2 linked regions of the Caenorhabditis elegans genome follow. The protein of the gene in region 1 interacts with the protein of each later gene in a pairwise test. Each region holds a gene or a part of one and is shown in the gene's direction. Other genes may lie near its edges. The genes, in order: B0261.7 and C36B1.11.

The links.
Region 2: the proteins of B0261.7 (region 1) and C36B1.11 interact in a two-hybrid assay, tested with the Caenorhabditis elegans proteins (one large-scale study listed by BioGRID).

What each region holds. Positions count from the first base shown.
Region 1 is NC_003279.8:5,268,767-5,272,712, reverse strand, and holds B0261.7 (Zf-tcix domain-containing protein), read left to right. Parts: upstream 1-1,771; 5' UTR 1,772-1,778; coding exon 1,779-2,141; intron 2,142-2,187; coding exon 2,188-2,310; intron 2,311-2,356; coding exon 2,357-2,503; intron 2,504-2,544; coding exon 2,545-2,760; intron 2,761-2,812; coding exon 2,813-3,009; intron 3,010-3,056; coding exon 3,057-3,066; 3' UTR 3,067-3,168; downstream 3,169-3,946. Other genes in the region: B0261.8 (uncharacterized protein), read left to right, coding at 682-736, 794-1,135, 1,192-1,340; B0261.9 (DUF4377 domain-containing protein), read right to left, coding at 3,250-3,396, 3,444-3,652.
Region 2 is NC_003279.8:8,755,286-8,759,461, reverse strand, and holds C36B1.11 (uncharacterized protein), read left to right. Parts: upstream 1-1,858; 5' UTR 1,859-1,914; intron 1,915-1,959; 5' UTR 1,960-2,060; coding exon 2,061-2,309; intron 2,310-2,359; coding exon 2,360-2,485; intron 2,486-2,530; coding exon 2,531-2,677; intron 2,678-2,741; coding exon 2,742-2,808; intron 2,809-2,855; coding exon 2,856-3,049; intron 3,050-3,189; coding exon 3,190-3,374; intron 3,375-3,424; coding exon 3,425-3,440; 3' UTR 3,441-3,616; downstream 3,617-4,176. Other genes in the region: tin-13 (Mitochondrial import inner membrane translocase subunit tim-13), read left to right, coding at 1-165; DY3.8 (SWEET sugar transporter), read left to right, coding at 467-742, 790-966, 1,010-1,144; imp-1 (IntraMembrane Protease (IMPAS) family), read right to left, coding at 4,101-4,176.

The sequences.
Region 1 (3,946 bases):
GGCCGCTGCTGCAGTCGTCCATTTTCTTTTTCTCTTTTCATCCTCTCAATCTTTTTTCCACTTCTAATTCTCTCGATCTCCCTCAGTGTCTTTGTTTTCGTCGTCCGTCGTATGTCAAGTCTTCAATCCTAAATTTTATATTCTTTTGGAAATTTTATGAGCCAAAAACATTCCTGACTCTTAAAAACTATCCAAAAATGTTCAAAAGTGCAGCTGATCAACGATAATTTTTATTAATTTTAGGCATTCCATAGTAGGCAGGCACTTCTTCAGTCGTACGTGTCTGCCTTATGTCTATACGTATACGTGTTTTTTAAAGTCTAAAAAGTTTGAAGTACCAAGATGCGAAATCTTGCCCAAAAAGTACGGTGCACGATCTCGACACGACAAATTTTCGTGAATTGCAAAAAGTTCACATTTAAAGAGTACCGTAATACCATTCATAAAAAATCGTGAGAAAAATTTATGAAAGTTCCGCAGCAACTAACGTTTGAAGTTACAGTACTCTTTAAAGGCGCACACCATTTCTGCATTCAATAAAGGTCGATCATGTCGAGACCGGCTACCGTATTTTTGGCGCAAAAATTACGGTGTTTGATACATAGCAGTTCTCCTCGCTCTAAATTCTTCTAAGCCTTCATCAGATGAATAATAAGAAACAAGTATTTCAATTTCAGAACTATGGGAAGCCTTCTATCCACACCAGAGGGATCTAATCCTATCGGAAAAGCCATTGGTGAGTTATCATCTGTACTTTAATATTTTTACGATTTTACAAAAACTGGTGATTCAGGATTTCTTTCTCAACGCAAAAGACCAGCCGTCGAGCTCCAAGATGATTTTGAACCAGAAGTAAAAGTTCAGCGAACTTGTGAGGTCCAGGATGAAGAGGCGGAAGAAGAAAATATCGAGTTTGAGCATGAAATTGACGAGGAAGAGATTGAGGAGCAAGACGAAATTGTTCATGAACAATCTGAAAACGACCAAAACTTGAAGGATAGTGATGAAAAGAAAAACGAAATTGTTGCTCTCGAGAAGTCTACTGAAAAAGACGAGGAGCTTCCAATACCTGAAAAGGAGGCACAAGTGGATCAAGAAGACACTTTGGAGAATCTTTTTGAGAAGGAAACGGAATGTGAGTTCGTTAATTTGAAATTGATTTTTCGATTTTTCCTAATGTTGCTTTTTCAGCCAACAATACAAATGAGCAGCAAGAAAACGTTGAAACGAACGATACCACTTCCAATTTTGATCTCAACGAAGCAGAGGAAAGAGTCGACGTATTTTCAAACGGGCTTCTGACTTCAATCCAATCCACTCAACCAGAAATCATTGCATAAATTGAATTTATTAACTTATTTTTTATCAACGCCATTAAATTTTAATTTTTAAAATTTTTTTCAAAATATGTGACAAAATAAAATATTATAAACTTGAATTTTAGCTAATAAATTAACATATTATTAATAATACAGTAATATTTAATAATAAAACCATACTACGGTAGACAATGGCAAAGTCCGCAAACACTGTTAGGAAAATTGCGTACATTGCAATGATGCTCTATCGAAATAGTTTTTAGGATTTTTCTCTTAAAGTTTCTCTCATCATTTTCGCAACGCTATATTTTCTTTTTTATTTCAATTTAATATTAAAATAATCGCAATTTTTAGTAAACGAAGGATACTTTGGAGGAACCATTAATATTTTTCGAGCTTATAATTTTCTACCTTAATATCTAAACATTATAGTTCATTATCCCAATTTTTTCAGATAAAATGAGCTGTGTTGATAGTGTACACAGCAGTCGCGATCATTCGGTCCAACTTTCTCTGGAAAAGACTGCTTCTAGCAATGGGGACGAAAATTCAGAAGCGGATCCAGATCAGTCTTCGGGTGCGGTCAACCGTTCAAGATGGACTGAAAACGCCGCAAGATGCTACAAATGCAAGGACCTCGTGCCACACAAACTTCTCTTTGTCTGCCGACATGAAAAGTGCGCTGGAGTTTTCAAAGGAAACAAGAAATATGCTTCGCCGTTCGACTTTTATTTACATGAAAAAGTATTTTGCTCGGCATGCATCTTCACGGGCAGCCACAAGAATCATTCTGATCAGGCGGAGGGAGCCTACAAATTAGCGGTAGAGTTACAGTGAGTATGAAATCAATTCTCAAGAAACATTTCAGATTAAATCGGCTTCTACTGGTGAAGATATGGGACTGATTTACCAGACACTTGCATTTCTTGATATTGACGAATCAACTGATTTCATGATCACCAACGACTTCGGTATTCCACATCTTCCAGTGGTTAGTACTTGAACATTTATTACCGTTACCATACTCTTGGTTGCAGGCTGATGTGGCTTCGTATCTTGATAATGCCAACAGTTGCACCGAATTCGTGAAAAGAAAGAAAATGCTCGTGGACCTGAAAAATACAGTTGATAACTGTCGTACAGAAAGCGATGTCTATGTTAAAAAGCTCGCCGGTCTTTCCTTGGTTAGTGTTCTCCGTTTACAAAAATCAATTATTTTGTTCAGAACTGTTTCCAAGATATACTGGCCAAGTTTAAAGGTAGTAACAAAGACAGCGAACCATCATCGAAGAAAGAAGAGAAGAAAACTTCTCACAAAGACCTGGAAAAGCGAGCATCAGATGTTACCCTTCCACCGGCAGCTGCATCACCAGTCCCAGATATTCCGAAAGTCGATTCCACTTCGATTTCGATTATTACAACTGTTAAAGTGGAGAACCTTGTAGGTTCCTTGAAAATACCGTACGGAGTGTTTGCAAATATATATTTTACAGAAGCAAAACGATTCTGCAATAAACATGCTCTGTCGTAGTTTGAGTCTCCGTTTCGATCAAATTCGAGACGAATTGACAATTGAGCAGGCTTTGCAAGCAGTCTCTGACATGCTTCATGAATCTGTTGGAAGCCTCGAGGAGAAAATGGCTGCTGCTAGTCGCTTCAAAGAGCGACACAATGTTGCACTCTACTACCCGTGAGTATTCTCAAAAGAAATTCAGAAAATCAATGTTTTATTTTCAGACCACAATAAACGCACCCAGTGACTGAAACTTATTCCACATGCAATACATTTTATTTTGTATCAATTTTTCAAATCTCTAATGAACCGCACTGCTTTATAAATGTTGCTGCCAGATGATTGTCACTAACAAACTATAAGAGCTCTTTTATAAGAGATCAATAAGCAATTTATTAATATCAGTATTTCAGAATTTTATTGAACAGAATGACAAACCAAATGCTCATTAACAATTTCTCTGTCATCGTCCACTAAAATGTATCTCCAATCGTGGCTTTTCTTGTCGCATTCAACTTTAAACCAAAGTATAGCTGTACGTGAGATCATTGTCATATCAACTTTCTGAAATATTAACAAAGGGGGCTGTTTAAAAACTTCCAAAAACTTACGTAAATAGTTCCTCTGTCTGGCCAATTAGTTCTCAATAATTGTCGAGTTCTTGCGTTCTCTTCACCGCATTGAATATAAATGTAATCACAATTCTCATACGTGTAAATAGGCGTAGTTAGGTTTCCAATTCTAATTTCTTGAGCTAGTTCCTTATCCAAAATGGCTACGTGATTTATGGTAAGCGGTTTGTAGTCGAAGCATCCACATTCTGGAAGAATGAGATGATATTCTACACTGATGTAACCAAAAATAACATTGTTGGGGTTTTTCAGCATGAGTCGACACCTCTCCGGGTTGAAAACCTGTTTTCATGCTACCCAGACGCTAAGAGCGTACTGTAATTTTTTTTGCTACGGGATCGATTTTTTATAGTTTTTCGACTTAAAAACTCGAATTTAAAAATAAAATTTATCAAATCGTGAAAAAAAATTAAAAAAATCGATGAAAATTCACTCGCAACAAAAGTTTGAACATACAGTATTCTTTCTTGTGTCGAGACCAA
Region 2 (4,176 bases), 3.5 Mb from region 1:
AGCTCATTGGCCAGTGGTGAAAAGCAATGTCTACAGCGATGCATGGATCGTTTCATGGAATCATGGAATCTTGTTTCTCAAACTCTTCAAAAACGTCTTCAAGAAGAAATGGCGTCTTCAGGAGGAATGGGTGGTGGATTCGGACAAGGACCGTCGTTTTCTTAAAAAAATGTTTTCAATTAACACCCATTTTCTGTTATTGTTTTTTTCCATTTTTTTTTCTTCGAATTGTCATTTGTAGGTAGATCAAAAAAAAAATCGAATCTTCTTTTGCTCTATATTGTTATCTAATTGCGGCAAGGAATATCCACCAGAATGGTTTTTTGCGGTAGTTTTTCGTTTTCATTTTCTCCGACTTTTTGGCGTATTCTTTTGTGTTTCGCCACATTTCTCCGGTACTTCTTCTAAATAGTTTTTAAATTTTAAGCTCAGTTTCAAACTACTGACCTGTCTCTTCAATTTCAGAATGATTGGCGCTATCAACGTTGCCGGACTCTTATTTAGTGTTTACTTCTACGCATGGTTACGTCCGGATCTTCAAGCAAATGTTCGCATGGGCTTCTATCGATATAAAGTTGATTTTGCAATATATTTCGGAACTGCTGTCTGGTTATTTTTGGCAATGTGTGTCGTCGCTCCACGTGTCTGCCGACGAACCAATGCGATTGCCGGAAATTGTGGAATGGCCGTTTGCTCGATTATTGTCATTGTAAATCATTATCTGCTGGAGAAAAAATGGGTGGTACGCAAACTTTATTTGTTTCAAATTCAACTATATACATTTTTCAGTGGGGTGGCTTGCTCTATCTCAGCAATATTATGTTCTACGTGCTGTTCATGGGACTCACAGTAATGGGACAATTCTCCAGATATCATTATGATAAGAATCGTGTCTCCAATATGATTATTCCAATCTTGGCAAACGCAGCAATGACAGTTTTGCTCATGACGAACCTAACAGATACCGTATGTTGCTTACTCAAAAGTGTTTATGTTTTCTGAATTTCAGGGATATTCTGACGTCGTTCCGATCATCTCCTACGGAGTTCACACAACAATGGCCATCATTGCTCAAGGTGCCGGACCACGCCTCAAAACATTAGACTTTTTTGAATACCTCAATCAATTCAAACGACGACAGTAGTTCAAATCGTTTCTAACCAATTATTTCATCTAATTTGCTGGTTCTCATGTATTTTCTTGTCAAATCATAACTTGTATCTCACTTCTCACTCAATTCTCCACGACAATCACTTTGCTTCATTCTATTCACAGTGTTATTTTTTATGAAGATAATTTAATTCGGTAATATTTGAAAGAAATGCTCTTTATTGCGTTATTATCAATATTTAGAAGAAGCCCCATCGAAACAGGGTGCGCGAACTACAGTTTTGAAGACTACTGTAGTAAATGAATACTGCAATTGCGCGTGTGCCTCGTTGCACGCACAACGAGACCCGAAGAACTCGGGGGATGTCCAATTGGGGGGATTACCAACTCGGGGGATTGGCCCCGCCCACAGAACCGTGACTTGCAATACGCCCATTTCTGCAACTGCCGCACGGTTTTAAAACTATAGTTCTTCGGGTCTCCGCACAACTCCACATTTGAACTTTTTTATTGCGCCATTTTTTGATTTTGACCTAGTTGTAGGCCTATATAGGAATTAAATGTTCATTTTGAACGAATGAATTGCTTCCAGAAGTGATATTTGACTGTTTTTCAAGTTTTCCCAATATTTCAGCTTCTATCTTCATCTAAATAAACATTATGCTTCAAAATTCTCGTATTTTCGTTCCACATGTGCTTTTTTCTCTCCTAAGTCGTTTTCTCACTTTAAATACAATTCAATTTTAAGGTAAAGGATCATACTTCAAACATAATAATCACTCACAAGTAATAATAATCTGAAGAGTAAGCTCATATTTTTCTATTTTTCTTAAATCTAATTAATTTCAGTGTCCTCCTCTGGAACGATTGATAGTTTCAATCAAGTTCTCACCAAAGAACCACCAACACCAGCTGAATTTGCCTCGACATTTCCTCTTCATCAAGATGTAATGTCAGGACAAAAGTGCTCCGCTTACACCGACACAATGGGAACTTGCACAATCTGTTCCATATTCGCCCCACACAGTCAATTATTCATTTGTCGTCACGAAGGCTGCAAATATGCGCTCAAACAAAGTTCTTCAATTATGACGCCGGCAATGTTCTATCGAAAAGAGAAAGTTATTTGTGGAAAGTGTGCTTTTGTCGGACCACACAAAATGCACAAAGATTTCGTGTCAAAAGCGCAAAAACTGGCGGTATGCTCTCATTCAACACTCTTGATTTTTCAATAAAATGTATTTTTCAGTTTAAAATCGCTTCACAAGAGATTGGAGTCAGATTGCAAATGGAATTCGATGTTCTATCCGAACTACATGAAGATAATCCTGTTGATTATGCCATTATTCTTTCTGGTCACGAAAAATTGGAAAAAGTGAGAATTTAAGAAATTTTAGAAAATTATTGTTAACTAACTCAGATTGATGTGATTAAATACTTGTCACAGTCAAAAACGATTGTGGAATGGAATTTGCGTCAACGGCAACTCAACGAGGCTATCCAATTTATTAAATTTAATCGTATTGAAGGCTACCATCGCGTCAAAGAGCTGGCTAACAAGATGCTTGTGAGTTTGACTATTACAATATCAAGTATAAATTTGGAATACTCGAATAACAATGATTTTACAGGATGCATTTTATGATGCTAATGCGACAATTGAGAGAGACTCAGAAAATGGTTCTCCGCAGAGCGATGGTAACTTATAAAAATCTCTGATCGTTGAAAACAAAACTGTGTTACAGATGATCACTTATCAGATGTTTCGCATGAATGTCAAGGATCTTCTCGGTCGTCTATTTCATCAAAAAAATCCAGTATTCATTCTACATCAACTACTGGCACAGTTATCCTGAATCAGAATCCAGACAACGCCCTTTCATGCAGCGAAGTCTCCGGAGGCGATGAATTGAAAAATAAGAGCAGCACTAATGAAGGTGTAAGTAACATAAATACTTTCAGGCTTGAGTGTTTTATATAATCAATTTCTTCCAACTTAAAATAAACTCCGCATTCTTTCGAAAAATTGAGTAAACATTTATTATACAACTAAAACGTTATAAAGCCTAATTTTTTCAGTACACCGAGAGCATGACCGAAACTGTTATCACCATATCACGCCGTTTTGAAATGTGTATTCGTCGGGAATCACCAGAGGATGCAGTTTCTCGTATTGCAGATTATCTTGATGATAGAATCGAATCTAACGATCAAAAAAAGGCAATTGCCGAGTACATGGAGAGAAATTACTCGATCAAGTGGCCGTGAGTTTCTCTTTTCATTAATCGTCGATTCCTAAAGTTTCAAATTTCAGGCGCCAGTTTCAATGAATTCAATTTTACCGAACAAATGAGCACATATTAAGGAAATTCTTACATTCTACGCCGAATTCTACTATAACATACTTCTTTTATTTCTCACCTTTTTCAATGCCAAAACGAAAATTTTTTTCGCATGTTTCAACTCGTTCAAAATCAAAAATTTGAAAATAAACTATTAGAGCCTGAAATTATCTAGTTCTCGTTTATTATTTGACCAAAATACAGAACTTTTCGTTTGTTCTCGCTCTGCATGGCATGTTTTCGTGAACCCAACAATTAAAATTCGACGGGAACTTTCATGTGTCATTTGTAATTATCGAATATAGTCAAATAGCAATTGCTTCAGAAACGATTCGATCATAAATTTTCATTTCGAGAGGAACGATCGGAAAAATTCTATTTTGAATAGAAATAATTATGTGTGTAAAATTGAAATAAGAATGGACAAAAGTGGGGTACTCGTACTAGGAAGAAACAATTATGGAAAACTTGAATAAGAAAGATACATACCTACGTGAAAATTTACACAGAACAACCATCGATTTTACAAGAATATGAATGTGGCTCGTTAATTTGAATATTTAAAAACGGTTAGAGTTTGATTGAACTTTTGAAAAGGCAAATTTCAATTCTTCTCGAAAAGACATTGGGGAAGAGATTTCAGTTGATTTACACGTTTACAGGAGGATTTTGTTGACTAGAAGAGTTGGATTGATCGATTACAGCGTTTGATTCGATGTCTTCC